Linked DNA regions of Macaca fascicularis. The protein of the gene in region 2 interacts with the protein of the main gene of each other region in a pairwise test. Links are inferred from orthologs where the notes say so. Each region holds a gene or a part of one and is shown on either strand. Other genes may lie near its edges. The genes, in order: ATOX1, FAM118A and MOB3C.

Region 1 (10,510 bases), on a different chromosome or scaffold from region 2:
TCCATGTTAAACAGGAGACAGCTGAAATTCAGAGACGTTAACTTATCTGGGATCACATGGTCAGTAAATGGTGGAGCTGGGATTTAGCCAAATTAACTAGAACTGCCAGGACTAGCTCTGGAACCATGGCAGTACTAGTGAATATGTTGGTCATCTCCAGTGTATACTGCATGACACATCTGAGTGTCATTTTCTGTTAAAAAAAATTTTTTTTTTGAGACGGAGTTTTGCTCTTCTTGCTCAGCCTGGAGTGCAGTGGTGCGATCTTGGCTCATCGCAACCTCTGCCTCCTAGGTTCAAGCAATTCTCTTGCCAGAGTCTCCCGAGTAGCTGGGATTACAGGCATGCGCCACCATTCCTGGCTTATTTTGTATTTTTAGTATAGACGGGGTTTCTCCATATTGGTCGGCTGGTCTCGAACCCCTGACCTCAGGTGATCTGCCTGCCTCGGCCCCCCAGAGTGCTGGGATTACAGGTGTGAGCCACCCTGCCCAGCCTCTATTAAGATTTTTTAAATGGGGCTGGGCACGGTGGCTCACACCTGTGTTCCCAGCATTTTGGAAGGCTGAGGTGGGCGGATTGCCTGAGCTCAGGAGTTCTTGAGACCAGCCTGGGCAACATGGTAAAACCCTATTTCTACAAAACGTACCAAAAAAATTAGCCAGGCATGGTGGCACATGCCTGTACTCCCAGCTACTTTGGGGGGCTGAGGTGGGAAGATCGTTTGAGCCCAGGAGGTTGAGGCTGCAGTGAGCCTAGATCATGCCACTGCACTGCAGTGGAGGCAACAGAGCAACACCCTGTCTCAAAAAAAATAAATAAATAAGAAAAAAAAAGAAAGATTTTTAAAAAGTAACAATTTGAAAAAATTTTGTCTTTTTCTATTTCTTTGCTTCAAAAAATTTTTTTAAGTAATTTTGAATCGCTCACATGCAGGGTTTTTTGTTTGTTTGTTTTGTTTTTTGAGATGGAGTCTCACTCTGTCGCTCAGGCTGGAGTGCAGTGGCACATGATCTCAGCTCGCTGCAACCTCTGCCTCCTGGGTTCAAGCAATTTCTGGCAAATTTTTTGTATTTTTCATAAAGATGGGGTTTCACCATGTTGGCCAGGCTGGTCTTGAACGCCTGACCTCAAGTAATCTGCCCACTTTGGCCTCCCAACGTGATAGGGTTACAGGCATGAGCCACTGCACCTGGCCACACGTAGATATCCTTAAAGCACCTCTTTTCAACAATCAGTCTCATCCAGCCTTGTCATTTCACATCTGGGGAAACTGAGGCCCAGAGAGGGCTGGGATCTGGTCCTGGGACTGAATGAGGTAATAACTGAGTTGTGATCAGAGTTTTGGCGATGCCAGTCAGCCTTCTAAGACTTTTTCTTTTCTTGTTCCCCTACATGAACTGTCACACAATCTTCTAAAATTTTCTGTTTTAAAACCCTAAATAATAATGACATTAAGTTTTCAAATGGCTTCCACATGGACGTGATCTCATTAGCAGTCCTCTGAGCTGTACTTTTCATCTTTGGAATGAGGATGTTGATGCCAGTACCCAGGAGGTTAAGTGACTTGCCCAGAGTCCCGCAGCAAGTCAGTGGCTGACCTCTGGCCCTGTAAACTGGAATCTTAATCTGAGAGAAACTGAAACAGTGGAAAGAACCTGGCTGCTGACTTTCCATATGACTGTGGGCCCTTGTTTCTCAGGCCTGGGTTTCCCCAGCTGTGGTATAGGAATGTATATCTTGTGTATCTGTATCAACTTCTACTGTTGATGCTTTTTTTTTTTTTTTTTTTTGAGATGGGGTTTCCCTGTTTTGCCCAGGCTGGAGTGAAGTGGCATGATCTCTGCTCACTACAACCTGCTTCACGTGCCCTCCACTGGATTCAAGTGATTCTCCTGCCTTAGCCTCCCGAGTAGCTGGGATTATAGGTGCCTGCCACCGTGCCTGGCTAATTTTTTTTTTTTTTTTTTTTTTTTTTCCCCTGAGATGGAGTTTCACTCTTGTTGCCCAGGCCAGAATGCAATGTCGTGATCTCAGCTCACCGCAACCTCCGCCTCCCGGGTTCCAGCAGTTCTCCTGCCTCAGTCTCCCGAGTAGCTGGGATTACAGGCGCGGGCCACCACACCCAGCTAATTTTGTATTTTTAGTAGAGACGGGGTTTCTCCATGTTGGACAGACTGGTCTCAAACTCCTGATGTCAGGTGATCCTCTCTCCTTGGCCCCCCAGAATGCTGGGATTACAGGCATGAGCCACTGCGCCCGGCCTGTTGACGCTTTAAAAATGAAACTGCACAGGAGCCCCTCAAATAAAGCAGCAGGCTCTGGATGAAGTGGGAACGGGCCTAATTTTGTTTGACAGCTCAAGGACACCTACCCACCCCAGGAACTTCATCCAGGCCAGAGTGTAGTGGCGCGACCTCAGCTCACTGCAGCCTCAACCTCCCAGGCTCAAGTGATCCTCCCACCTCAGCCTTCTGAATAGCTGGGACTACAGGATCACACCGGGCTATTTTTTTTTTTTTTTTTGTAGAGACAAGATCTCACTTTGTTGCCCAGGCTGGGAAACCATATGATTTTTGGTTTTGTTTTTGGTTTTGGTTTTGGTTTTTTTGAGACGGAGTCTTGCTCTGTCACCCAGGCTGGACTGTCGCCCAGGCTGGAGTGCAGTGGCCGAATCTCAGCTCACTACAAGCTCCGCCTCCTGAGTTTATGCCATTCTCCTGCCTCAGCCTCCCGAGTAGCTGGGACTACAGGCGCCTGCCACCTCGCCCGGCTAGTTTTTTGTATTTTTTAGTAGAGGCGGGGTTTCACCGTGTTAGCCAGGATGCTCTCGATCTCCTGACCTCGTGATCTGCCCGTCTGGGCCTCCCAATGTGCTGGGATTACAGGCTTGAGCCACCGCGCCCAGCCTGTTTTTGTTTTTGAGAAGGAGTCTCACTCTGTCTCCCAGGCTGGAGTGCAGTGGTGTGATCTCGGCTCTCTGCAACCTCTGCCTCCCAGGTTCAAGCACTTCTCCTGCCCCAGCCTCCCAAGTAGTTGGGATTACAGGCACATGCCACCACACTGAGCTAATTTTTATATTTTTATATATTTTATTAAAATATAAAATTATTTTTTTATATTTTTTATATATGGAGTTTCACTATGTTAGCCAGGCTGGTCTCGAACTCCTGACCTCAAGTGATCCACTCGCCTCAGCCTCCCAAAGTGCTGGGATTACAGGCATGAGCCACCACGCCCAGCCAACCATATGATTTTTAAGGCCCCTTGCTGGAGGATCTGCCTTTGAGCTTTGGCAGGTTTCTCCCCATCTTTTCCTACTGTCCCTGCTTGGATGGCCTCTTGAGAAAGTCAGGAGGGTTTTTTGAGTTGCTTAGGGCCCTAAAAGAAGAGTGCGAGGGCTGAGGAATCACAGATTAATAGCATTCTTGAGCTGGAAAGACCACAGGAGCTGGCCAGCCCTGAATCCTTCATGTACAGATGAGGTAACTGAGGCCTATGAGAAACAGGACCCCACCCCTGCCATCCATGGTCACCCAGCAAGTCAATGGTGAGGCCAGGCCTAGAACCTCTCAAGACTTTTCCTTTCTTTCTGTGTGCTCTTTTGTCAGAGTAAAACTCTGGGTCCTCTCATGTGCTGCTGGGGGGCTATAAATTGGCATAGTCATTTAGGAGGGCAATTTTGCAATGTCTATTAAACATTCAAAATGTGTCAAACATCTGTCGCCCCACAATTTCCATTCTGTGAATTCACTGTATAAAAATATTTTTATAAGTTTTTTTAAGACAAGTTCAAGTATGTTTGCTATAACATTGTGATAGTGGTGAAAAATTAGAAGCATCCTCAATGACCTTTAACATGGATTAATTAAGTGGATGTGTGGTACGTTCACACTATGGAAGATTGTAGCTTTTAAAAAAAGAATAGGGCCAGGCACTGTGGCTCACGCCTGTAATCCTAACACTTTGGGAGACTGAGGCAGGTGGATCACCTGAGGTCAGGAATTCAAGACCAACCTGGCCAACATGGCAAGACCCCATCTCTACTAAAAATACAAAAATTAGCCAGGCATGGTGGCTTATGCCTGTAATCCCAGCTACTCGGGAGGCTGAGGCAGAAGAATCGCTTGAACCCAGGAGGCAGAGGCTACAGTGAGCTGAGATCACATCACTGCACTCCAGCCTGGGAGACAGAGCAAGACTCTGTCTCAAAAAAAAAAAAAAAAAAAAAAAAAAAATGGGCTGGGTGCAGTGGCTCACACCTGTAGTCCTAGCACTTTGGGAAGCCAAGGCAGGCAGATCGCTTGAGCCCAGAAGTTCAAGACCAGCCTGGGCAATATGCAAAAGCCTGTCTCTACATAAAATACAAAACTTAACCAGGCATGGTGGCATGTGCCTGCAGTCACAGCAACATGGGAGGCTGAGATGGGAGGATCACCTGAGCCTGGGTGTTCAAGGATACAGTGATTTGTGATTGTGCCACTGCACTCCAGCCTGGATAACACAATGAGACCGTGTCTCTAAATAAATAAATAAATAAAAGTAATAAATAAAGAAAAAAGTAAAATATTAGCAAGACCTGTTTATGTAGTGTGATGCCATTTGGAGAAATTATTTTTCATTTGTCTATCTGGGACAAAGTCTGGATAGAAGCCGGACTGTTCACAGTGATCTCAAGGGGTAGGATCAATAGGGGGCCTTACTGCTTCTACTTTTATTTAGAAATGTTTGCTTTTTTGGAAAAAAAAAATGTCTATATTACCTTTGCAATTAAAAAAAAAAAAACGTGGCTGGGCGCAGTGCCTCATGCCTGTAATCCCAGCACTTTGGGAGGCCAACGCGGGCAGATCACTTGAGATTAGGAGTTTGAGACCAACCTGGCCAACATGACAAAACCCTGTCTCTACTAAAAATACAAAAATTAGCCAGATGTGGTGGCGTATGGCTGTAATCCCAGCTATTCTGGAGGCTGAGGCATGAGAATCACTTGAACCCCGGAGGTGGAGGTTGCAGTGAGCTGAGATTGTGCCACTGCACTCCAGCCTGGGCAACAGAGTGAGTCTCTGTCTCAAAAAGCCCTAGTATAGAGCAGGGATCAGCACACTACAGCCCATGGACCAAATCCTGCTCACAGCCTATTTTTGTATGTTCAAGAATAGAGTTATAAAAAAATATGCAGAATATACAACAGAGTCCATATGTGGCCCACAGTGCCTACAACATTTACTTTCTGGCCCATTACAGAAGAAGTTCGCCAATCCCTGCTCTACAGGAAAGGGCAAGGGTGGTTGTGAGTAGTAATTTAGAGCCTGAACTCTTTCTTGCTATATAACTGGGAGGGTCTGTGCTTCCTTTCCCCATACCCCATTTCCTCTTCCTGCAGGAGTTAAGTATGACATTGACCTGCCCAACAAGAAGATCTGCATTGAATCTGAGCACAGCGTGGACACTCTGCTTGCAACCCTGAAGAAAACAGGAAAGACTGTTTCCTACCTTGGCCTCGAGTAGTAGGCACCTGGTCCCCACAGCCCACAGGATGGACCAAAGTGGGCAGGTGGGTAAGGCCCCATCACTTGCTGAACAAACCTGCTGCTCACACCTCTCATCAGAGCTAACACCTTGGCCTTTGAGAGCTTGAGTGGAGCAGAAGAGCCCCCTGGGTTCTTTTCAATCCACTGTCTACCTTCTTTGAAGTGGTTACAAATATTTTATTATTGTCTAATGCAAATCACAAGTTCAGGGAATTCTTACAGCCCCTGTGAGTGGACAGAGCACTGTAAAGTCTCCCAGAGTCCTCTTTCGGACTTGGGGGTTGCAGTTCATGGATAGCAGGGTTTAAGTTTACAGTCTATGACCCTAAGCAGTGCATTTTGGCTCCTTTGTTTGTTCGTTTGTTTGAGACGGTGTTTCACTATGTGGCCCAGGCTGGAGGGTAGTAACTCTTCATAGGTGTGATCATAGTGCACTATAGCCTTTAACTCCGGGGCTCAAGTGATCCTCCTGCCTCAGCCTTCTAAGTAGCTGGAGCTGTAGGCACATATCACCACACATGGCTCTGGCTTTGATAAACTGACTGTCTCATCAGAGTTGACACTTATGCCTTGGGCCTTATTCTCCTGTGCCCTGACCAAGTGAGTTAATACAGACTGTGCCGCCCTCTCTACTTGAAACTGTTAGCTTCCTGAGCATGCCCTCTGTCCAGACTGGTACAAAAACAATAGCATGTTTGAGCTAGATGTTCCCTTCACTTTTATGTAATCCAGTGAGGCAGTAAGGGGCACTGTGCCACCAGTCTTCACTCTGGAACCAGGCAGACCTTACTCATTGATCCAGCCAGTCTCAGCAGGGCACTTCTGGCTGCCATTGCCCATGTAGCACATTTGACTCGTGAATTACAATGATCACCACATCTCTGATGTGGTTTGGTGCCCTGACTGTGACTGAGAAAAATGAGGCCAAGAGAGGGGAAGCGATTCAACCAAAGTCCCACCCAGGTGAGTGGCAGAGGCAGGAAGAAAGTCAGATATCCTGAATCGGGGTTCTGTAACTGTTACTGGTGGCATTGTCCCTGTGAATGGGCCCACGGAGACCCCGCAGACAGAGGCCAGCCACAACTGACTGGTAGGTCCTCTTCGAGGATAGCCTCCTTCCCAAAGGCGTACATTTGGAACCTGAGCCATGGCAGTGTTCTGTGTATGTGGTAACATCACATGCAAGTCACAAGATGTCAGATGCATCTGTTTTCGTCATGCACTTTCCATCCATAGATAGAATGCATATTCAGGAATGAGCCCAGGATGAATAACGAGGAATCTGGGATTCTGATTCCAACTCTGTCCTCATTTCACACTGACTTTGGGGACTTTTTACATTACAGAGATTTGGTCTTCCCATCGGTAAAATGGGGCTAACACCTCCAACCTGCTTTCCTGCCTTGTGGGGATTGGTGTGCAATCTCTCCACATATGAAGGCTTATCCTCTAGGGAAGTAAAACATCAGCTGTTTCCAGCATGTTGAAGAATAGTGTTTCTTACATCATTCCTCTACCCCTAGGGTTTCGTAGGGAGGGTGAGTGGATGGGGGCTCTGGACCTTCCATAGCTCCCAAACAGCCCTGTGTCATATTGGGCTTCCTGTAAGATTGTATTTTATGAAAATGCTCTGTAACAAGAAGGAATGGAGGGAGAGAAGAAAAAAAAAAACTCTTCCTGAACTAGCTATATACATGGGGGAGCCCTAATGCACACATCTTGGATTAGAAACTCCAGGCCTCGGCATATGAATTTTTTTAACTAAAAAAGTAATATCTGTTGGATGTAAACCATGTGTAGCTTAATGTGTTTTTCTCATAGAAAACATGTTTTCTCATGTTATTTTATTGAGATGAAATTCACAAGACATAATAATTAACTATTTTAACCCATTTATGCTGAATATTGCAAAGTTTTTTATGTGAAAAATCAAACCTTGGTGATGACCTTGAGCAGTAGGATATAAATAACTCCCACAAGCTTAGCATTCCAATAATGGAACACTAGGCATAAATGGGCTAAAGTCTATCATTTAGTGGCATTTGTTGCATTCACAATGTATGACCACCACCTCTCTCTAGTTTCAAAACTTTTTCATCATGTCAGAAACACACCCTATATCCATTAAGAAGTCACTCCCCACTACCCATTTCTCCATCCCCTGGCAGCCACTAATTTGCTTTCTACTACTACTCTGGATTTGCCTACCCTGGACAGATCATATAAAAGGCATTACATTATATGTGACCTTTTTGTGTCTGCCTTTTTCCATGTAGCATAATGTTTTCAAGATTCATTCAGGTCATATCATGTATCTGTAAATCATTCCTTCCTATGGCTTAGTAATTTTCATGGCACTTTTTATTTATTTTAGATTTTTTATGATAGGAAGTTTCAAACACATGTAAGTAGAGTGATAGAATGAATCCCCAAGTACCCGTCACCCAGATCCAACAATTAGTGTTTATTTCACCAAGGCCTGTTATTTTTTGATAAAAGCACTCTGTGACAAGAAGGAATGAAGGGAGAGAAGGAAAAAAACTCTTCCGGAGCTATCTATATCCATGTGGGGGAGCCCTAATGCACACATCTTGAATTAGAAACTCCACTGTCCTCATTGTTTCATCTGGGTAACGAAACACCCAGATTATTTTGAAGCAAATTCTAGACATCATGCCCACTCCCTCCTGCCCAGATTGTTTTGAAGCAACTTCTAGACATCATACAATCTTATCTGTACATATTTCAGTAACCATGTATTGTATGGAAAGGCTCCTGGAAATTCAGATGCACAGTACTCAGTAAGAATCACCTAAATAAGCCAGCTTTAGTCCACGTGCTCAGGCAACATGTCTTTGAAGTCTGCTCTAAGAGGTTCCTCAGTGACCCACTTGAAGCCAGGCTTGGGAACCTCAAAGATAGAGTGTTTATTGGTTTTGAAGTCACCTTAATCATCTGACTCTTGGCAGATTTATTTGCTCAAGCTTTTGTTCATTGCCTTTCCAACATAAACTGTAACAGGACAGGGAGTGCTGTTGACTGAGTATCCTGGCAGCCCTGGAAATTCCCCACAAGAGGGCTTTGGCAGTGATTGGCTTAGCAAGGTTAATGCGTTCCAGCCAACCTGAGTATAACAGGTTCATGGGAGTATAACAGACTTCATGGGAGCAGTGTGCAGGGCTGGACATTGGGGTTCTAGTCCTGCCCCTGCATCTGCACCCTAGGTTTTCCCCTCACCCCTGCCTCTTTGTGCATTTATTGCCTTTGCAATATCGCTATGTCCACAGCAGATGGCGCCTTTGTTCCACCTAACTTTCCGTCTTTCCTAGGATGCTGATCCTCCTCCCCTGGCTTCCAGACAGACCTGGGACTTGGCAGTCATGCTGGGCAATGGTGTTCCTGTGGAGACCCTCAGTTGTCCTATTCCTTCCTAGCTTCCCCGCAATAAAATCAAGCTGCTTTTGTTGGAGATGTTGTCTTGCCTAGTCTTGGTGTTGCTTGCTCACATGTAGGTGGTTACGCTTACTCGGGTTGGAGTTTTGAGAGTTCCCACCTGGAAGTCAGACACCCTGTAGATTCTGATTCTTTGCTGTGTGATCTTTAGCAAATCACTTCCCCTCTCTGGGCCTCATTTTTTCCTCACTATAAAGTAAAGGCATTGACCCAGAACAGTGATCCCCTTTCTTTTCACCGGTTTCGTAGATTTCATATTTTGAAAAACTTTTGTCTATCAGGTGAATTGCACAAAAGGTTATCAAATGTTAAGGCAAGTGGAATAGTGGGAAGAGGCTGTGGAGACAAACTGCCTGGGATAGAGTTCAAGCTCCAGTACCTCCCAGCTGGGCCACTTAACCTCTCAGTGTCCACAGACATAAAATGTGATGATAGCATCTACTGCAAATGGTGGTTGTGGGGATTAAATGAAGTGATACGTATAAATCAATTAGAGCAGTGATTGCTGGTTAAAAATCACTCAGAAAATATTAGTGATTCATTTTTGGCTTTTTGTTTGTTTTGAGATGGGATTTCTCTCTGTCACCCAGGCTGGAGTGCAGTGGTGCAATCAGGGCTTACTGCAGCTTTGACCTCCCGGGCTCAAGCAATACTCCCACTCTTGCCTCCCAAGTAGCTGGGACTACAGGCACATGTCATCATGCCCAGTTCACCTTTTTTTTTTTTTTTAGTTTTTTTCTAGAAATGGGGTCTTGCTATGTTGCCCAGGTTGATCTTGAACTCCTGAGCTCAAGCAATCCTCCTGCCTTGGCCTCCCAAAGTGCCTTGAACTCCTGCCCTCAGGTGATACACCCGCCTCAGCCTCCCGTAGTGCTGGGATTATGGGTATGAACCACTGCACCTGGCTGCCACTCATTTTTAAAATATTTCATTAGTCAAAAATCTGTCACAATGGCAATTTGAATTCCAGTCAGGCTGAGTCAGGTTGAAACTAGTCAGGTTGGAGTGCAGTGGCATGATCATAGCTCCCTGTAACCTCTAACTTCTGGGGTCAAGCAATCCTCCTGCTACAGCCTCCTGAGTAGATCTTATATACTCTTAAAAATTATTGAGGATCTTGGCCAGGTGCAGTGGCTCACACCTGTAATCCTAGCACTTTGGGAGACTGAGGCGGGTGGATCACTTCAGGTCAAGAGTTTGGGACCAGCCTGGCCAATATGGTGAAACCCCGTCTCTACTAAAAATACAAAAATTAGTCGGGCGTGGTGGCACATGCCTGTAATCCCATGTACTCTGGAGGCTGAGGCAGGAGAATCGCTTGAACCCAGGGGGCGGAGGTTGCAGTGAACTGATATTGCATCACTTCACTCTAGCCTGGGCGAAAGAGCGAAACTCCGTCTCAAAAAAAAAAAAAATTAAAAATTTATCAAACAGTTTTGGTTATGTGGGTTATACTACATTAGAAATTACAACAGGAATTTTTAAAACAAAAATACCCAGGCACACATCCCATTAGCCATTGGGAC
Region 2 (10,510 bases):
AGGTGGGCTTCCACTTTAGACCGCTTTGGGCCCAAGTGCTAACCAAGGAGTAGCCTCCTGAGTAAATGTATCCGTTTTAACAACACTGTTTCATGTAGTAACAGAATGCACTCTGTGAGGAAGAAATTAAATCTCAAAAAGATTTGGTTCCTTCCCTGAGGGGGACTTCCAGTACGGTGAGATAGCTGACCTCTATGAACTGCAGACAGCAGAAGCCACTCTATTTGTCCTTTTTTGACACGGAGTCTCGTTCTGTCGTCCAGGCTGCAGTGCGGTGGCACGATCTCTACTCACTGCAACCTCCACCTCGTGGGTTCAAGCAATTCTCCTGCCTCAGCCTCCCAAGTAGCTGGGACTACAGGCACCCGCCACCGTGCCCTGCTGATTTTTGTATTTTTAGCAGAGACAAGGTTTCACCACATTGGCCAGGCTGATCTCGAACTCCTGGCCTTAAGCGATCCCACCCGTCTCAGCCTCTCAAAGTGCTGGGATTACAGGCGTGAGCCGCCGCACTTGGCTGTTCTCTTTCATAACTTTGACTTACAGACAGACCATCAGTGATCCCACCAAATTCAGTCATTTCTGATATAACAGAGCATGCCCAGTAACCTAATTTAAGGGCCACAGTACATATTCAGGCTTTGTTGAGATAGTAAGGAGGTTCTTAGCAGGTACTTGTATAACTTTAAATTTTAACCATTTTATTTTTATTTTTTATTTATTTATTTTAGATGGAATTTCCCTCTCAACCAGGCTGGACTGCAGTGGTGCGATCTGGGCTCACTGCAACCTCTGCCTCCTTAGTTCAAGTGATTCTCCTGCGTCAGTCTCCCAAGTAGCTGGGATTACAGGCGCACACCACCACGCCAAGCTAATTTTTGTATTTTTAGTAGAGACAGGGTTTCACCATGTTGGCCAGGCTGGTCTCAAACTCCTGGCCTCAAGTGGTCTGCCCGCCTCAGCCTCCCAAAGTGCTGGGATTACAGGTTTCAGCTACCCTGCCTTAAAATGTAACCATTTTAAAATGTAATGGCTATTCTAGCTTGAGGCAGTAAACAGCAGGGCCAACTTTGTTGCCTCCTCATGTGATGTTTCTCACTGACTAAACTATACACAAGCAAGTACACTATGCTGGAGTTGCCTCTAATCTATCAATCGCACTGGAATAAACTTTACATTCTACAACGAGCATACAACAGAACCAACTAGATACATCCATGTGGTACAGCAACATGGCTGCGTCCTCCAGCAGAGAACACAAAGCTTTTCTTAAAATGGGCTGTAATGAGCTTTACATCCTACTGCACAGCATCCTCTACGCCTGTAATTCTGCTATACCCTGTGTCTGGCCAGCTCTCAGATTCAGATATTCCCTGACTGCACTTAGTAAATGACATTTAAAACAATAATTTATAATGTTTGCTTTTTAAAACATTTAAACACATTCAAGTAATCATTTAGTTGATTTCACAGTTGGGTGGCAACTCAAGCTACAAATTCTCACTAAATAGCATTCTAGCAAGCCTTGGCATAACTAAAGAAACACTGAGCACACAGGGTTGAAGTTAAAATTTTATTTATGGCTGGAGTGGCATAAAATATTTGTTTTCCATGCTTCAAAAAGAAAAAAAAAGTTTTCAGGGCTTATCTCCCTCCCTTTGCATTCTACCCTTCTATTTCCTGTTCTTAACTTTCTCTGTACCTGTGGGAGTCATCAATGGGGAGTGTCACAGGGCTTGGCAAGAAATGTCACATTGAAGATAAGTGGCCTCAAACTGAAACCAAGCAGGGCTGTTTGTTTCCAAAGAGAACCCCTGACCGTAGGGCCACTCATGAACCACCACAGAAGCCGCTGCTGTGTCACAGTCAGAGAAGTTCCCCGGCACCAGCAGCGCACCCAGCACAGCCGTTTCATGTGGGTGAACCTGAGAAGGTTTAAAGTGTTGCAGGCCCTTTTCAAGTTTTGCCTCCCTCACTCTCTGCAAACTCCCTTAATATGGGCCATAGAAGAGAATTTTAAGAGACAATAACAGACTTGCAAAGCCTGGAATTTATAATGTTTGAAACCTGGTCTTTCAAACTTGGGCTGTCCTGGTTGTCAGTGCCACAGTGGCCCTGCACAACGCTGGCCTGAACTTCGGCAAAGGGCCTCTGGCTCCTCCGATTTCACAGTTCTTAGCAATATCAGACCTGTGTTTCTTTGGAACAGAAGTTACTAAAACTAATTCCAAAGAAGCCCTTTGATCCAGTTGTTCTCCCTAAAAACATACCATTTTCACTAGCGGATTCATTCTTTACTATTTAACAGTGGAACAAACATACCTTTAAAATGCTTTCTATAGTAACATGTTTCCACATACAAATTATAACGTGTTTATTTCGCTGGGCGCAGTGGCTCATGCCTGTAATCCCAGCACTTTGGGAGGCTGAGGCAGGTGGATCACCTGAGGTCAAGAGTTCGAGACCAGCCTGGCCAACATGGTGAAACTCCAACTCTACTAAAAATACAAAAATTAGCCAGGCATGGTGGTGGACGCCTGTAATCCCAGCTACTCGGGAGGCTGAGGCAGGAGAATCACTTGAGCCCAGGAGGTGGAGGCTGCAGTGAGCTGAGATCACACCACTGCACTCTGTCCTGGGTGACAGTGAGACTCTGACTCAAAAAAAAAAAAAAAAAAGTGTCTATTTCGTATTTTCTCTTTGGCAACTACTGTTGCTTGGACAGTCTTTACTCTTCCCCTTTTATTACAAAAAATACCACCTTGACAAAAGAGAGCCTGTCAGATGGGAACGGGAACACCAGGTCCACCCCTTCCCATGGATCCTGGCCCCTGAGGTAGCTGTCCATCAGTCCTTGCAAAGTCCACCTGAAGTGTGTCCGCGTCACCTCCTGCACAGTTCAACACACAGGGGAGCCCTCTCACCCAGCCTTGAGGGCCACACGCCCATGTGGCTCTCTTGGTGTATGTGAGGTTTTGCAATCAGAGATCCACGTGGAGTTCTCCACGCATTCCTCTTCGTTTGGGCACTGTGGTTACAGAAGGCTGGTTTTCAAGTTGCAGGTTTTACTGGTTTTAAAGATTTCAAGACCCTCCAGCATCATCTGTTTAAATAAAAGAACGATATGCCCAAGGGTTAAAGTCCAGCTAAAAGAAATTATTTGCAATAGATTTCTATTTCAGAAACTGCTTTACAATTGTTCTTACATGCGGAAGACTTAGAAAACCCCTCCACAATGGAAACAGTAGTCACTGTCTGGAAATGACCTTGTGTAATTATCAATACCATCAGGGGATCAAGCAAGTGATGACAATTACATTTGCAACCATCTGTGGGAATCTCAATCCATGAACATGGATGCTCTTTTATTTCTTAGTGGACTGAGGATGGGGCAATTTCAACAAACATACAGTGAGAGCCTGTTGGAGGTATGGAGAAGCAGCCTGTCGATTCCTCTGGGATCCCCGGGCTTGGCTTCTCTCACCCACATGCAGGACAGGCCAAGGCTTTCTGTACAACAGAGGCCAGGAGCTTCGCCCTAAGGAGACATGACTGTGTGGGGACAACTGGGACTGCAGGTGCAGGTGATGGCGTCTAGGAGCACAGATCTCACAGGTACTGAAGAAAATCCCTGCCCAATGCTCCACAGCAAGGTCTACCAGGCAGTAGGCCCTGCCTCCTGATGTGCACACCAGTCAGAGGTAGGCTACGGGGGGACAAAATCTATGTACACAAAACAAGAGCAACGGCAGAAGAAAGCCAATCTATTGAGCATAATTGCCCGGGCCTTCGTTCTTGTCAGCAGGCACTGGAGGAGCCCAGATGTGCAGAAAACAAACAAGGAACATGAAAGAAAGTTGTGGGAAAGAACCACCTACCCCAGAGGAAACAGTTCACAGAACACCAGTTTTGTGTTTTGTTTTTACTTACACAATGGTTCTACTAGCTGAACTCACAATCCAAATATTTGCAAAAATATTTCAGTCTGATCCAAAACACTATCAAAATCTAATTCTCTAAAACGTGTGTGCCCCCAAGTGCACCTGAAGTTCTATAAAACTATTATTATTATTTTATCTTTTTTGAGACGGAGTCTTGCTCTGTCACCCTGGCTGGAGTACAATGGCACAATCTCGGCTCACTGCAACCTCTGCCTCCCAGGTTCAAGCAATTCTCCTGCCTCAGCCTCCTGAGTAGCTGGGACTACAGGCACGTGCCACCACGCCTGGCTAATTTTTGTATTTTCAGTAGAGATGGGGTTTCCCCATGTTGGCCAGGCTGGTCTCAAACTCCTGACCTCAGGTGATCCACCTGCCTCAGCCTCCCAAAGTGCTGGGACGACAGGTGTGAGCCACCGCGCCTGGCCAAAGTTGTATAAAACTAAACGAGAGGATGTCGAGTCTGCGACAGCTGCCCCTCACAGCTCTCCCATGAGGACCCCCACACCAGTTCACTCTCATCTTTCCTGCCCCTGGACGGCAGGACACTAGGGCACCCCCACCCCCTGCTGCCAGCCCTCACTTGCGCTATAATTCACTCTGCAGCTGGCCCTTTTAGAACTGCCTTATTTTACTTGACTAAGTTTGCACTCACTATGAATCTTTATAACATGTACTGTTGCACATGGTCCCTGTGGTGTTGAAGGAACATGCAGGGACATAATACTGCTCCAACACACCCGCTGAAGGATTTCAATGTTAAATGAAGAGGTAACTGAAAAGCTGGACGCTTCATAGCTCTCAGAAATTTTTGGTGGACTGCTATGTAGGTATTTAAGAGTGTTTTACTTTGGTTTACTTATATGAAGTACTAAAATATAAACTCCTATTATATGAAAATCCTCTCTCCCACTGTTTTCAGGAATGTAGTAGAGTCAGATAACCAGATTGACTTCTGTCTCCAGAGTTCTCACAGACATAGAACAGCAGATGCTCTGAGAAAAGGTAACTAAGAAAACTAGAGCTTGGCTGGGTGCAGTGGCTCACGCCTATAATCCCAGCAGTTTGGGAGGCCAAAGTGGGTGGATCACAAGGTCAGGAGTTTGAGACCAGCCTGGCCAACATAGTGAAACCCCATCTATACTAAAAATACAAAATTAGTCGGGCATGGTGGTGGGCGCCTGTAGTCCCAGCTGCTCAGGAGGCTGAGGCAGGAGAATGGCTCGAACCCCAGAGGCAGAGGTTGCAGTGAGCCGAGATTGCGCCACTGCACTCCAGCCTGGGCGACAGAAGACTCTGTCTCAAAAAATAAAAAAAAGACATCAGAGAAAACTTAAAAGACAGTGGAAATCAATCCAAGCAATCCCAACTAGTATGACTTCCAGAAAGGGAGAACAGAGAAGATGGAAAGAAGAAATAAAGAGAATCACAGACTATTCCAGAACTGGAGAAATGGAGGAAGAAAAAGAACACGTGAATAAGGCAGGTAAAAAAAGTTTTCCACCTAAATACATCCTCATTGGATTTCTACTCAAGGGAAAAGGGGACCCTAAAAACTCCCAGGAAAAAAAGCAACGGGTACCTTCAAATCACTGGGAACAGGTTCCCATCAGACCCTCTTCATAGGAAACCTGGTCTTCAGACAGTGGAGTCTGGGGGAATCACAACCAAGAATCCCACGCCAAAACTACCAACGAGCGTGAGGATGGCACAGACACCTGCAGACACATCGCCCTCGGGAGGCGACCCCGCACAGGGCTCTGCAGAAGCAGCCTCAGGAGCTACTAGCAGGATGGACGGGGGGCCAGAACAAGGGAGACCTGGGCCTCCATCTCAGAGAGGAGGAGGGAAGCTCGGGAGGCAGGCACACAGCAGTCCCCCACAGAGCTGACCAGGAGAAGGTGTCCTGGGAGACGTGGGGTGGCAGGATGAAGAGAATGCATACTTTTTTTAAAAAAAAATTCTTAGTTCTGAAAGCTGAGGGAATGCATACATTTAAGAATATTGGGAAATGTTATTTTTTGGAAAACAAAGGGGAAAGAAGAACCTAAAAACTCCTCAAAAAATAAGAAGTAACACAAATGTCTCAAAGCCCCAATATTAAACAATAAAACATGGGAGAATGGAATGTAAGAACAAGCCACATTTGACCCTGACATTGAGAACACATCTGCAGCTGGCACAGGTGCCGTGGCACTGGGCCCACGGCCACCGCCACAAGCTGGCTAAGCAGGAAAGAACACTGACGCTGTTTTCATCAAGGAAATGCTTTTGTTTGCCGACTTTTACAGTCAACCTACAGACAGACTGGGGGTCTCATTTCCCTTCTGTCCTGTCACCACGGAGACCAACAAAACGGGGAAGCCGGCGGGCCAGGGGGTGGGATACGCAAGCGGGGGGCCATCCAGCCCAGGCTTCGTGTTGGGAAGTCTGGCTTAAGTCTGTTATTTAAAGAATGAGAAATAACACACAGCACTACGCAAACCTGGGAGGAGGAGGAGAAGGGGAGAGGGAGGGACCGGCACGAACGAGCGAGATCGCCCTTCGTAGTGTCAACAGAGAGGCCTATTCAAATACACTGTTTAGATAGTTCAGTCACTTACATCTCAGTCTGTAACAGGCAGCACAGCTCAAATGATTTAAAGTGCTTTTCTACAGGACTCGGGTGACATGCATCAGGCTAGTGGTCACCCTTAGGGGCTGGAGAAGGCTGGAGAGTGACAAGGGGGGTCCTGGCAATGCTGCTACCTCAACTGGGTGTGATTAGATGGGAGCGTGCACTTTGCAAAAATGCACTGAGCTGACCTTACATAACTTGTGCACTTTTTATTCATGTTTTTAACTTTTCTTTTTGTAGACAGCACCCTTCTGCCCGCTGCACCTTCCTAGTGTATGTTTTCTCCATAACAGTTTTCTAAAGAGGCACCAGCACCTCTGGGCAGTTGGAATTGGGTTGGGGTGAGAGGTCAGGGTCTCTGCTAAGCCTCCTGTGCTCTCTGGCCCTGACAGAATGTATGCACCATCCTCCCACCACAGGGCCCGGAGCATTAAAGCGCGGCATGGTCCCTGAAGATGCCTGCCAACCAGACCGACCTGAGGCAGCTCCCCACAAAAAGAACGGACACAATACCAGTATCTGATTGTCTGAGTTTTTTTGAAACTTCAATTCCATTCTCTTCTAACTTCCTCTTTGCACAGTCCTGGCATGCATTACCTGAAAGAGGAAAATGTATTAAGCTTGTTTATTTAGAATCCACCCGCCGAGGCACAGTTTATAAATGTGACCTTACTGAAGCATAGGCCAAACAGACCCTGCCATCCCCTGCAGATGACACTGACCGCACCACGGCTTCTCTCCAAAGAAAGCCATGCTTCCGGGAGTCGCATTTCAGTAAGAAAGCGACTGTAATAAAGATGTCCTTTCGCATGGGAATAGGTGGATGGGAAGCTGACTGCGGCGGTTTTATACCTCCCGCACCGCTAACATGGATGTGATGCGAGCAGCTCCCACATCGATGCGCGTTTTCTCATCTGTGAACGCACTGGGCCAAACAGGCAGGGAAAACGGGGCTGCGACAGAGGCCTCTGCGCCACTCACCAGAGTCCCTTTTACCCAAATGGCTCAGCAAGGGGAGGCACCTGGTGCCCAGTTCACACACAGGAGGACGCTTGTAGCCACCAAGTCTTGTTAAATGTATAACCAGGCAGAACTGAGCCCAGCAATAAGAGCGTTCACATTTCAAACAAGGATTAAATAGAAGCTTCTGTGTGAAAGCTCAGACCCGTGCAATGAACGCTGCGGAAGAGCTGGGTCATTCTAAGGCACTGCATCTTGCCCCACATGGTATCCCACAAATAGAACCTGTTCCAAGTCCCCTGTCACTCTTGGTTCTAGGGCAAGAAATTATTCTCAGGTGCCAGCTGGCCCACGTGTGATCCGGCTGTGCTTCCTCGTCAAAGGGATGGCTTTTAGTGTCTCGGTGTGGCAGGCACCATGCTAATGCATGGCTATTTATCATCTTCAGTGGGGCTGTCTTAATACAAGCTAATTATTTAAGGTGAAAAACAAACGTTTATGATTTTACAGTGAATGACAGAAGACAATGGAATGTGTAGGCAAAAAACAGGCTGGCGAGAAGAAAGATCTGCTTTACCCAATAATGTGGTGCTGTCCACTCGGTCAGCATCTGAAGGAGAAAGAAAAGCAGTCAGTGGAGCCGAGACACCCAGAGCTCGTCCTCCTCAGCCGCTGGCAGGCAGTGACTAGGAACGGCAGTGACTGGCAACAGGCTTCTGGGCAGCTCGGCCCACACGGAAGGTGGGCTCCTGGGCCGCCCGCTGCCCTCTCTTCTGCACCTTCCAGGCTTGGTGCGAGGACTCGCTGAAGGCGCCAGCTGGCACAGGGAGCGTGGCGTGGTGTCCGTGGTCGCTAACATGACTGTCACTGGCATGGGCCTCCTCTCCCATCAGGAGTGGCACTCCATGAATTCGAGTACAAATGTCCTTCATGACAGTCACAGATTAAAACTCCCAGTGACCTTGCAGTCTTCCGGCAGCCTGTCGAATCCACTTGCCTGCCCCAACCTGGAAAGGGAGCCTCAGCGCGACAGAAAGCTGCTCAGCCCCACTCCAGGAGCCCGAGCACATGCAGGGTTGCTCTGGGCCCTGTTCTTCGGGGAGTGTGGGGGCGGAATGAGAAGCGGCGGACGGGGGCAGACATGAGGAAAGCCCGCTGCCTCTCTGCAGAGCCACGCACTGGGCTGGTGCCAGGACGCACCAAATGGTGTATTTTGCTCTGCAGTCAGGCCAGGATCCCAATCCCAGCTTCAAAATGTCTGGGCGCTAACTGGGCACGTTGTGTGCCTGTGCCAGCTCCGCTCGTCTCGTCTACGAAATCGTCTGCTTACTGGCGCTGCGTGCTGCCACTGAAAACCCAACTAAGGTAAGAATATGGAACTCCTAGTAGGGGGTGACACACGGCAAGCAGGAGCTCCTTTCTTCTGCCCTTAATAAGAATTATACTTTTATTTATGGAAATGGAACTTACATTGGTCCATTTTGCTAATTATTAGCAATTTTGAAAAGAAATGATAGTGGTTAAAAAAACAAGAAAAACCTGAGCTGTTGGATTATCTGTGCATTCTCTAGTCTCCAAGTTCACAGCTGGATACATACACCTGCCTCTGTGGCTAACCTGGTTCCAGTGTATGGTGAGTGTGCCTGGGTTTCCTGTTACAATTAAATGAGCCAGCACAGGCCTTTCCAAGCTTGCCATCATCAATGTTTTATGATGCCAAACTCGCAGCTATTAATTCCCTTATGTCAAGATGACCAAGTTTTAAAATTTCTCAATTATCCTGGTCATTCCTGATAGATGAGCAATTTCTGAAAAGGGCCAAGGAGCACTACTTAAAAGAGGTGCTGCATTCAGAACAGGGACATTCAGAACAGGGAAAATACATCACTTGAAAAAAGAAGTCAAGTGTTCATCATGAAATCAGGTTGTGCTTGTGAAGTTGTAACTTTTCAACTGCAGTGACAGGACACAAATATGAGGTATCTGCATCTTTCAAGTGTTAAGTATCACAACTGATAAAGCTAGCCTGGTAGTTTTCTTTCTTGGTTAAGGAAACCTGAAACAGGAATAAATGTGTCCAGCTATACATATGTGTACAGTTGTAAACTTCAAAGTTACTTTATGTTTTGTGTTTAGAGACAGGGCTTGCTCTGACATCCAGGCTGGAATGCAGTGGCCTGACCACAGCTCACTGCAGTCTCTAACTCCCAGGCTCAAGAGATCCCCCCACCTGAGCCCCCAGAGTAGCTGGGATCACAGATGTCCACCACCAAACCCAGCTATCTTTTTTTCTTTTCTTTTTTTTTTTTTTGAGACAGAGTCTCGCTCTGTGGCCCAGGCTGGAGTGCAGTGGCACGATCTCGGCTCACTGCAAGCTCCGCCTCCTGGGTTCACACCATTCTCCTGCCTCAGCCTCCCGAGTAGCTGGGACTACAGGCGCCCGCCACCATGCCCGACTAGTTTTTTGTATTTTTAGTAGATACGGAGTTTCACCGAGTAAGCCAGGATGGTCTCAATCTCCTGGCCTCGTGATCCACCCGCCTCAGCCTCCCAAAGAGCTGAGATTACAGGCGTGAGCCACCGTGCCCAGCCCAAACCCAGCTAATTTTTTAAAACATTTTTGTAGAGACCAGGTCTCCCTATGTTGCCCAGGCTGGTCTTAAACTCCTGGGCTCAAGCAATCCTCCTGCCTTGGCCTCCCAAAAAACTGGGATGACAGGCATGAGCCACCACATCCAGCCTGAAGTTAAAGTTCTAGTTACAGACTGTCACTAGGACACCAATTACTCCAATCTTCTCATTTTAAATTACAGATGCAGTTTTTAAAAATAATAACTGGAAGATTGGTGAATTTTCTGGATACGTGAATTACATCAAAAAGAGAGAGAGAGCAACAACTGGAAGAGCCCTGTGAGTTTCGTACTTGAAAAGCGAAGGCAGCCAGGTGCGGCGGCTCACGCCTGGAATCCCAGCACTTCAGGAGGGCGAGACTAGC
Region 3 (11,290 bases), on a different chromosome or scaffold from region 2:
CAAGACAGTGGTCATTTTGCTTGCTCTTATTGCAGAGGCTACATGTGGAAAACCAAGCCAAGGGGCGAACAGAGAAGGCAGTCAGGTCCAGGGTTTGTAAGCAGAAAGAACTGAGAGATGATGATGAACAAACTTTTGGAGCAAAACAATTAAGTACCAGGCTGTCACTTTCAAATTCTTGTCTTGCCTTGCCAAACCTTAACATTAAAAAAGACCTGGTTGGGCGCGGTGGCTCACGCCTGTAATCCCAGCACCTTGGGAGGCTGAGGCGGGCGGATCACGAGGTCAGGAGATCGAGACCATCCTGGCTAACATGGTGAAGCCCCATCTCTACTAAAAATACAAAAAATTAGCCAGGCATGGTGGCGGGCACCTGTAGTCCCAGCTACTCAGGAGGCTGAGGCAGGAGAATGGTGTGAACCCGGGAGGCGGAGTTTGCAGTGAGCCAAGATTGCACCACTGCACTCCAACCTGGGGGACAGAGCAAGGCTCAGTCTCCAAAAAAACAAAAAAGACCTTACAGGCTAAGTGTGGTGGCTCATGCCTGTAATCCTAGCACGAGGTGGGCGGATCACCTGAAGTCAGGAGTTCGAGACCAGCCTGGCCGACATGGTGAAACCCCATCTCTACTAAAAATACAAAAATTAGCCAGGCATGGTGACAGGAGCCTGTAATCCCAGCTACTCAGGAGGCTGAGGCAGGAAAACTGCTTGAACCCGGGAGGGGAGGTTGCAGTGAGCCAAGATCGCGCTATTGCACTCCAGCCTGGTCAACAAAGTGAGACTCTGTCTCAAAAAAAAAAAGGTTGAGGGACGGCCGGGCGCGGTGGCTCACACCTGTAATCCCAGCACTTTGGGAGGCCAAGGAGGGCAGATCACCAAGTCAGGAGATTGAGACCATCCTGGCCAACATGGTGAAACCCTGTCTCTCCTAAAAATATAAAAATTAGCTGGGTTTGGTGCCTATAATCCCAGCTACTCGGGAGGCTGAGGCAGGAGACTGGCTTGAGCCAGGGAGTCAGAGGTTGCAGTGAGCCAAAGCCTGGCGACAGAGCAAGATTCCATCTCAAAAAAAAAAAGACCGTACAGACTATCCAATCACCAGTTTTCAAACTGTGCTTCGAGAAATCCCCAAAGTCCAGAGCTGGGGACCTTGGGAGTCTGACCCCCCAACTCAACCAGAGAATCTGTGTTTTATTTATGGGGCTTCTCATAAGCTGTCATCTGAAGAAACAGTTTTCAAGAAAGACTGAAAAAAAACCCTGGTCTAGTCTAATTCTCCCACCTACCATTGTAGGCCTCCCTACAGCACCACTAAGCCGTTGGACAACTGTTTAAAATTTTCCCGGGGACTGGAACTCTCTACCTGCTAACTGACCTGCACCATGCTGAGACAGCTCTGAGTAAGTCAGTTCTTCCCCACCCCTAGCCAAAATCTGGCCTCTTCTCACTACCCTCACCTCCTTCTGCCTGTTGTAGATGGAACCTCCCAGGAGAGTCTTCACTTTTCCACCTAACCACCTCTCCTGCTGATAAGCAAAAATAACTCTCAAGTTGCTTTGGCATCTCTTCAGCAGAACTGTCTGTCTTTAGTTATATGACCCAAAACCCCAGCCCCTCACCCTCTGGCTCACCTGCATCTGGACAGACTAGCCAGTGTCACCAGTGTCTGCCTCACAGTTGGAGCCCGGAGTTGAGCCCAAGATGCTCTTGTGGGGTATTCAGAGTGGATTCTGGGTGGCCATCCCTTGAGAGTTGGCATGGTCCACCTGGAAGTCATTTCCCCACATAGCCACTTACTGAAGTCATCTCACTGACTCCACCTTTCCTGGCCTTTGTCTTTATTCCCACCTTGCTATCTTCCCATAATCTGTTGTCAAACATTGCTTTTCCTGCCTGGAACTTTAGTCCTTTGGACCTCCACACATAGCCCCATTCCATCTGGCTGGTTTCAGTCCAGTGCTCCCATCACATCTTGACTTGAATCTTCACTCTACTGCCCAGAACCCATGTCCCTCCCAATAGATATGATATTCACGTGACCTTGGTCCTCTTCTACATCTGCCATGGCAGTAACCATAGATTAGTGATGTCCTCTCAAGATCTTCGTTTACCCAAAAAATATTTGCCATGGTTTGAAACAATCACTACTAGGTCATGCTTGATATGTGGTCCACTGTGACCCCACATCATGTTTGTTACTGCTATTTTTACCACACTAACAATATGGTATGGATCCCCATCTTGCACTCTCATTTCTTCAACCCACATTAATTCTCCCATTTTGACCTTGCCTCTGGTCAAGTAAGAAGTAGCAGACATGTCTTACATTTTGGCACTAATTTTGCAGGGGAAGAGAGGGAGCAGGGAGGTATTTTGCTGAATCTCACTTGGTGTGTGACCCCCAAAAGACTCTCTGAGATGCCTAAGTTTCTTTCATTTGATCTTTGCAACAATACCTTAAGAGTAATATGATTCCTTTTTTTTTTTTTTTTGGACAGAGTCTCACTCTTGTTGCCCACGCTGGAGTGCAGTGGCGCAATCTCGGCTCACTGCAACCTCTGCCTCCTGGTTCAAGGGATTCTCCTGCCTTAGCCTTCCGAGTAGCTGAGACTACAGGTGTGTGCCACCACGCCCAGCTAACTTTTTGTATTTTTAGTAGAGATGGGGTTTTGCCATGTTGGCCAGGCTGGTCTCAAACTCCTGACCTCTGGTGATCCACCTGCCTCGGCCTCCCAAAGTGCTGGGATTACAGGCATGAGCCACCACACCCGGCCAATATTATTCCCTATTTTACAAATGAGGACACTGGGGAAACAGCATCATAGATGTGAAGAGTCAGGACTAAATTAGAATCCCAGTTCTGCCTTTCGTTCACTGTCTGGCCTTAGACGAGTTATTCAGTCTCTCTGAGCCTTTGTGTTCTCATCTGTAAATAACATAATAATGGACCTATCTCAAAATATAAGAAAGGATTAAATGATGTAGCAAACACAGAGTGCTTAGCACTATAATAAAAGTGCAAAACGGTAGCTGGTTAAGTACCTTTTCAAGGTGCACATCTATACAGAGGAGGAGGAATTTCTGTTTCTGGAACATAAATCTTCTCCTAGAACTAGACCTTTCATTTATAGAACATATTTCTTTTGTACTATTTTTCTACACCATGTTTCAATTTTCAGAAAGTCTCTTCCAGGAATTTAGAGAGGCTTGAGCAGTGGTAATCATACCAGACCAGGGCACAGGCATCAGGAATCTGGGAGGTGGGCAGGCGAGCAGGCAGACCCAAAGCCTGGCAGCTAACATCTAGGTCGGAAGCCAGGTAACATCTGGAGTTTTGGGCCAAGGTGCAGGCCTGCCTGATTATTTGTAGATGGCTTATCTGAGACAAAGTTATTCCTGGTTACAGATGTCTATGTATTTAGTTCCTTGGCAACTTATTAAACATAACTGTTTACAGTTTAAAGAGACCAAATCTATCTAACCTTGTCATTTTCCTACCTGGCTGGGCATCAGAAACACCTGATGCACTTGTCAGAGCTGTCCATTCTTGAGCTTCACCATTGAGACATAGATTCTGTTGGCCTGGGGTGGGGCCTGAGAAACTATTAGGTTGGTGCGAAAGTAATTACAGTTTTTGCCATTTATGTCAAAAACGCAATTACTTTCGCACCAACTTAATATTTTTCTTTTCTTTTCTTTAACTCTCTCCAGGTAATTCTGAAACTCAGCCTGATTTGGGAACCCCTGCAATAAGTTTTTACTTTTACTTTGCACCTGAGGAAAAAGGCTCCAGACCAGGTGAAGTGACTTCCCCAAGGTCACACAGGGTATCGGTAGCAGCATTCCTTCTATCTCTTTGTTCCAAATTTTCTTTGCACTTCAGTCCAAGGCAACCCAACTGGAAAATATCTGAAAAAGACAAAGATTTTATTATTGTCTGCCTCTGGTAAAGATTTCTTGGATGAGACTAGCTGTTCCCAGCATGCCCTTAGGTAAGACCCCTATGGGGCAAGAGAGGAAAGCCTTCCCAGATGCTTGGAGTTCAGATGTTTTCCTTGTTTGATTTTGAAAGCTGAGAATTTCCCTGGCTCGTGACCCCTGGAAACAAATTCTGGATTATCTGTTGCGCTGGACTATCTGTGCCTGGCCCCTGCAGCTACATAGAGAATTGTGTGTTGCCTGCACAGGCTGAAGCTCTCCATCCATCCTGCATGCATTTTGTACTCGCCTATGGTGAGTGAGCAGAGGGGGATGATATATGGAAATCCAGGCAGGCAGCAGTGTCAGGGGAGGGGGTTGAGGGGTGTGAGGGATTGATGGGAACTCAGCTACAGAGCTCAGTTGGGAGACTCACACCCCATTGGAGCTAGGATTGATTGCTGGAACTTTCTCACCCTTCTCAGTTTGTCTCAGAGCCAGCAACCTGCACTGTGTCCTCTGGGCACCCCTGCGGAGAGGGAATTGCTCTCAAAGTCAGGGAAGCTCCAGTCTGTCAGTGATGGTCTACCTCATGCCCTCTTCCCAGAGGCAGGCAACTCGGCACTCTAGAAGCCGAGTGACCTTCAGACAGCCTTCTGTTTCCCTTTCTTCTCTCTGTACTTGGCCTCCTTCTTATCTGTTTTTCAACTCTCAGCTCACACTAAATGACTTCCTCCATTGGGTGCTATCTGTAGAATGTGTGGAATATGACCTGCCCCGGCAGATTTTGCAAGAGTATCAAAAGAGTGAGTGAGAAGTCTAAGGTGATGTCAAGGTTATGGAGGATGGTCGATGTACTTAATGCTGCCAATTGCTTTAACATGGATCCAGGCACAGATGTCTTATCATTTACTTTCCCAGGAGAGCATTTTTTTGAAAGTGTCTAACCCCCATTCAAACTGACTTGTTCTTTGCCTAACTTATATTTGCTAAGTGCTCAGGCAGTGTCGGGCAGAAGGATAGACCCTGTGACTGGACCTGTTTTTGAGTCTCAGCTCTGCTTGCTTGCTCTTTCTCTCTTTCTTTCTTTTTTTTTTTCTTTTTCTTTTTCTTTTTTTTCTGAGACGGAGTCTCGTTCTGTCGCCCAAGCTGGAGTGCAGTGGCCGGATCTTAGCTCACTTCAAGCTCCGCCTCCCAGGTTTATGCCATTCTCCTGCCTCAGCCTCCCAAGTAGCTGGGACTACAGGTGCCCGCCACCTCACCCAGCTAGTTTTTTGTACTTTTTAGTAGAGACGGGGTTTCACCGTGTTAGCCAGGATGATCTCTATCTCCTGACCTCGTGATCCACCCGTCTCAGCCTCCCAAAGTGCTGGGATTACAGGCTTGAGCCACCGCGCCCGGCCATCTTTCTTTCTTTTTTAAGATAAAAGTCTTGTTCTGTCACCCTGACTAGAGTGCCTTGGAGCAGTCTTGGCTCACGGCAACCTCCGCCTCCCAGGCTCAAACAATCCTCCTGCCTCAGCCTCCTGAATAGCTGGGACCATGGGCACTCACCACTGCACCTGGCTAATTTTTGTATTTTCTTAGTAGAGATGGGGTTTCGCCATGTTGCCCAGGCTGGTCTCTAACTCCTGAGCTCAAGCAATCTGCCACCTCAGCCTCCCAAAGTGCTAAGATTACAGGCATGAGCCACCTCACGCGGCCCAGCTCTGCCATTTCAAGCTGTACTTCTTGACCAAGTCATTTCACCTTTTGGAGCCAATACTCGCATTCCAAGGTTGTTGCAGGACTCAAGAATGACCAGAGTAGGCCAGGCGCAGTGGCTCACATGTGTAATCCCAGCACTTTGGGAGGCCGAGGCGGTGGATCACCTGAGGTAAGGCGTTCAAGACAAGCCTGGCCAACTATGGCGAAACCCTGTCTCTACAAAAATTAGCTGGGCATGGTGGTGTGTGCCTGTAATTCCAGCTACTCAGGAGGCTGAGGAAGGAGAATCGCTTGAACCTGGGAGGCGGAGGTTGCAGTAAACCGAGATCACGCCATTGTACTTCAGTCTGGGTGACAGAACGAGACTCCATCTAAAAAAAAAAAAAAAAAATAGTTAGTAAAAGCACTTTGTAAACCACCACAACATTCCTTACAACTGTCGGTTGCTGCTACAAGGTAATATGGGAGGAGGCAAAATAAATAAAACCCCAATTCTGAGGGCTTACAGTCCAAAAGGGAAGACGCAACCTCCATGGGCTTAACCAAGGAGCACAACTACAAACCACTGAGAACTTTTTGTGTCAAGGGCTCCCCCCTGAGGAGGGTTGGTTCCAGGCAACTGGTGTAATTTAGGAAAACTTCCTGGGAAAGAAGAGCATACCCTTAGTCTACTTAGCCTTAGGCAAAGCAGAGCTCCTACAGCTGCTTCTTGAAAAGGCCCCAAATGCAATTTGATGACATACTGGATTAACAACTGCTGGAAGTCACAAGCTGTACTTGTGTGGAATCCAGACTCTACAGGGTGCAGCATGAGTCTCCACCAAGAAGTGGACTCCACCCACCGAATTGCTGCTTCCCGCTGCAGCAGACACAGCTTTCCCATCTCCTGGACATGAAGCCAAGATGGGACCCAGAGAGAGCCGCAGTGTAGGGTTTGGAACATCATCTAAACATGGCCAATCCCTTCTCCCTACTTAGTGGAACTTTCTCTCCAGCCCCTCCATCCCTCTCTGAAGGGAAGAACAATTTAAAAGCTCTAGAAAGATAAACCTCCCTCTCTCCCAGGGTTGCTGAGAAGAAGAAATGAGAATATGCCTTTCAGGGAGAGGCATATGTAAGGTTCACTTAATGGTTTTTATTGTCATGATTCATCATTGGGCTGATCTCTTTCTCTCTCTATGTCTCAATTTTCCACATACTTCGAGGAGATCACACTAAGTGATATCCAAGAACCTTTCCCTTTTACAAGCCACCCCCTCCCTGACTTGTTGTTCAATAATATTCCTCTGTAGCCAATAGGACACGTGGGCCCAGTGGAACTTCCTTAGAAGACCGAGGCCTTTGTCACCACCCACAAAGCAAGGGGAAGGTCTACAACTGGCCAACATACAGTGCCTGACATCTAATGGGCCCTCAGTAAACACTTGTGGAATGTAAGAATGAATGAACAAATAGAAGAAAGTGATGTGTTTTCACACCACCATAATAATTTAAAGCATAATTTACCACCATTATTTTTTTATTTTTATTTTTTTGAGATGGAGTCTCGCTGTATCACCAAAGCTGGATCTTGGCTCACTGCAACCTCTGCCTCCTGGGTTCAAGTGATTCTCCTGCCTCAGCCTCCTGAGTATCTGGGATTACAGGTGCAAGCCACCATGCCTGGCTAATTTTTGTGTTTTTAGTAGAGGTGGGGTTTCGCTATGTTGGCCAAGCTGGTCTCAAACTCCTGACCTCTTGTGATTCGCCTGCCTTGGCCTCCCAAAGTGCTGGGATTACAGGCATGAGTCACTGCGCCCGGCCATAATTTACTACCATTATTGCTAAAAGATAACACCCAGGCCTCTGGGGACCATAAAAACCCCCATCCCTGCTGGCAACTCTGAGGCAGGGAGGCAGGTGTTACTGAACTCACTTGGAGAAGGGATGCTGTGCTGTGGAGAAAGGAGGAGGGTGCATCCAGACTGGGGCAATCTGAGGGCTTTCTGTAGAAAAGTTTTGAACTAAGTAGGGGTTGCTCTATGCAGGCAGCCCCAGAGGCTGAAATGGAGGCACCCCAGCAGCAGAGGAGGGGCCAGGGTTGGACAGAATTTCCTGGGCAGCCTTCATGGTGGGTTCTATGGAAGGCTGAGCCTGGAACACTGGTGAAACCACCCCTCCCCCACAACTATCACCTCCACTCCCGGGGCACCCCAGGCTGGGAACTAACCCAAATGGTTGGAGGGGACAATGCCTACTGGGACCATGTTGAGGGTGAGGTCTGAGGGCTGTGAAATTGTCTTCAGGCACTTATGCATACCAGGCTTCCACCCCAGTCTCCAGAGGTCCCCTTCCCAAGATGGAAGAGATGAGAGCAATGCCTCTACCTTAAGGGGAGAGGGCTGGGAAGGAGGAGTAGCTTGGAGCAGAGAACACTGGAGCCTGAGGTTCTTAGAAGCAAGAGGGCCCTCCCCTTCTCTGGAGGGACTGAAACCCTCTGAAGTCCATGTCACCAGGGGCTGGTAACTTCTGCTTACACCGCTCCCTCCCGAGAGAACAGCACAGCCATCCAGGCTGCATGGTTGGACAGCTCTGATATGCCAAGCGCCCCTTCATATTGTCCTGGGTGTCTGCCCACTGCTCTCCAGGACCCTGGAGCAAGCTCAGTCCCTCTTCCACACAAACACCTGCTGGGTGTTTGAAGGCAGCACCCCTGAAACAGACTGACCACAGCCTTCTACTGTTTCCAAGGGCTATCACATTTGATTCTCTCAGCTCTTCTGTGGGGCAGATGTTGTTGTTGTTGTCTTTACTTTAGAGAAGGGGAAATAGGCTCAGAGAACAAGTGCCTTGTCCATAGTCACACAGAATTTTAGTGCATATCCTTGTCAACCTTGTCTTACCCTGCCATCTTCCCTTGAACCTTGTCTCCTTCAAGTGAAAGGAAGTCTAACCTCAATTCCTCTGAATGCCATAAGGGTGCCCATGGCATTCTCCTCAGTGGGCCAGGATGGAAAATCCAGGATAGATGAGCCTGCCTCCTGGGCAGGGAGGGGCAGAAGCTGAAATGGAAACTCTTTCTTGGGAGAGAGTGAGGAGAGGGTGGGCCCCATCAGGCTATAGTAGCTGCCAGACATCTGGTAAGGTGAACTGAGGGTGCAGTAGCTCATTGTGTGGGGCAGGGAGGGAGGGGGAACTTTCTTGGCATAGGAAGGGCTGTGGAGTCCCCAGGAAGTGGCCACTCTGTATCAGTGGAGTCACTGGATACAGGCCTCCAGTGGGAAGGCACAGGAAGCTGGTTCTGATACGGTACTTGGAGTGGTACTTGGTGTGGCTAGAAGATGCTTTCATGGTACAGGTGTAGAAACTGAGGCCCAGAGAGGGGCAAGGGCTTTCCCAAAGGCACACAGCAGGCAGACACCACCCTGCTGCCACTCAGAGTTCCCACTGCAAGGGGGGCCTGTGCCCAGGCTGAGTAGTGGAAAAGGTCACGTCCTATCGTAGGTCCTCACTGGCTCACGCCAAGCTTCAGAGATGAGCCTTGTTTAAACTCTTCTGGAGCCATTTATCATACTCAGGGCACAGTGGCAGGGAACAGAGCCTGTCTTGTGTAGGTATCCAGTGCTGTAGGGTTGCAGTGTGCCATCAGAGAGGGCAAAACCATCCCAAGGCCACACAGCGAAATTATGGTAAAGCCAGGACACTGTTCTCCAAGGTCTGGGTCTTTTCAGCCCCAGCAGAGCCTCCTAGAAGAACTAGTCTCTCTAACCAGGACTGAGAAGGGCAGGAAGAGGGTACAGGTAGTTGAGAGATCTGGGCTTTCTGGCTTCCCCCAAACCTTCCACCTGCTTCCCATCCCACAGACACCCAGGGACTCTGAGGATAAGCTGGGAACTTCTGATATTCCTTCAAAATGGATCATTTCTATTTCCCACAGTGTAAGGTTCTGTGCTGTTCACTCTTCACCAGAAAAACTCCTCCCTATCCTATAAAACCCAGCTCAGAAGTCCAGAAAATGACCCTGCACAAAGCCACAGAGGAAGTCACATCAAATTCCGAAGAATCTTCCAGACCATGATCTCTGACCACAACGCAATATAATTAGAACTCAACAAGAAAAACATAAACCTCCCATAGGCTAAGAAACTGAAAAACACACTTCGAAATCATTCAAGAGTTAAAGAGGAAATTACATTGAAATTTATGAACTATTTAGAACTGAATGATAAGGAAAACACAAGCAGTTTCCAAATCATTTCCCCTGTGAAGTCGGCCCTGACCCCACATGGTTCCTCAGATGGCTCTCCACCCTCCACCCATTTCTACACCCTAGGAGGCTGACATCTACAGGCTGCAGCGACAGGTTCCCTTGTTCTTAGCTTCTGGGAGGATTCAGCTAGTGGGGGAAACCTGGCCAGAGATCAGAGGGAGGGAGAGAGGGAGGAGAGTGAGGTCTCTTACTTGCCCCCCGTCCTTCCCTATATGATTGCTGTGGGCTGGGTATACCCCTCCACCTTAGGCCACAGCTGCCCCCTCCTCAGAGCTCCCACTTTCACCACTCCTTTCCTACACTCCTGCAGCCTAGGGTTGACAGCCTCTGCTCTTGTGAGTCCTTTGGTGATACACTGTCTGTGTGGTTTCCCTACACCTTGACCCTACCTGTAAATAAGTCTTTGTTAAACATACCCGTTCTGGGTGTTCTATGTACTTCCTGCAAATACCCCTACTCTTACAAAGTCCATTAGTCCACAACCACATTCTCACCTCTGGGTGACTGAGCTCTGACCTTGTGTATCTCTCTGTGTTGTCCCCTCTACTGACCTGTCAGCACCTGAGGTCAGCAACCAGGTCAGCTTCATCACCCAATCCCCTGATCTGATATGAGTGGAGAGTTATACTTAATAAAAGATATTGATTAGGATATCAAATAAAGAAGCATATTTTAATTTGCTCCATAAGCAAGTGTTTGTTTATAGGGGATTCAGGGCAGAGAGTTAAGAGTCAGACATAAAAATACAGAGAACTTTAGACTGGGGCAAAAATTGGTGCTCAACAAAAGAACATATCCACAGTTCTATGAGCTGGGATTCATTTTTTATTTTTATTTTAGGTTCAAGGGTACATGTGTAGGTTTGTTATATAAGTAAACTCTGTGTCATGGGGATTTGGTGTACAGATAATTTCATCACCCAGGTAAGCAGCATAGTACCTGATGGGTATTTTTGTCTCATCCTCCCTCCTCCCGCCCTCCCCCCAAGCAGGCCCCAGTGTCTGCGGTTCCCCTCCTAGTATCCACGTAGTCTCATTGTTTAGCTCCTACTTATAAGTGAGAATATGCAGTATTTGGTTTTCTATTCCTGTGTTAGTCTGCTTAGGATAATGGCCTCCAGCTCCAGCCCATGTTGCTGCAAAGGATATGATCTGGGTTAAGGATCTAGCGTGTTCTCATGTCATCCAGCAAACAGAAGGTCCAGACACAAGGAGTGTCCAGTGTGCCATAGTAAATGCCCACCTCTGGCCTCTAGCTCTCCCCTACCCCTCCAGAGTGGCTTTTACAGCTAAGCTCTCTGCTTTGGTCTTCTTACCTAGAAGGCCTCCAATCTTCCCTCCCATCCCAGACAGAGCAGCCAACTGGTCCCTGGGCCTGGGGGCCACAGTGTGCACTGAATGCTGGTGAGATATCT

Evidence for each region.
Region 1: the proteins of FAM118A (region 2) and ATOX1 interact in binary tests that used the Homo sapiens proteins (3 or more experiments, as listed by UniProt). The two-hybrid records come from large-scale screens. The link is inferred for Macaca fascicularis from reciprocal best matches to the Homo sapiens genes FAM118A and ATOX1.
Region 3: the proteins of FAM118A (region 2) and MOB3C interact in binary tests that used the Homo sapiens proteins (3 or more experiments, as listed by UniProt). The link is inferred for Macaca fascicularis from reciprocal best matches to the Homo sapiens genes FAM118A and MOB3C.

Annotation. Positions count from the first base shown.
Region 1 is NC_088380.1:158,587,754-158,598,263, reverse strand, and holds part of ATOX1 (copper transport protein ATOX1), read left to right. Parts: intron 1-5,383; coding exon 5,384-5,508; 3' UTR 5,509-5,554; intron 5,555-8,860; exon of another isoform or gene 8,861-9,000; intron 9,001-10,510. UniProt on the Homo sapiens protein: Binds and deliver cytosolic copper to the copper ATPase proteins. May be important in cellular antioxidant defense.
Region 2 is NC_088384.1:6,242,559-6,253,068, forward strand, and holds the end of FAM118A (protein FAM118A), read right to left. Parts: intron 8,126-10,510; coding exon 8,093-8,125; intron 7,153-8,092; coding exon 7,069-7,152; intron 3,539-7,068; coding exon 3,411-3,538; intron 3,104-3,410; coding exon 3,035-3,103; 3' UTR 1,560-3,034; downstream 1-1,559.
Region 3 is NC_088375.1:188,070,842-188,082,131, forward strand, and holds the start of MOB3C (MOB kinase activator 3C), read left to right. Parts: upstream 1-4,046; 5' UTR 4,047-4,235; intron 4,236-9,543; exon of another isoform or gene 9,544-10,560; intron 10,561-11,290. UniProt on the Homo sapiens protein: May regulate the activity of kinases.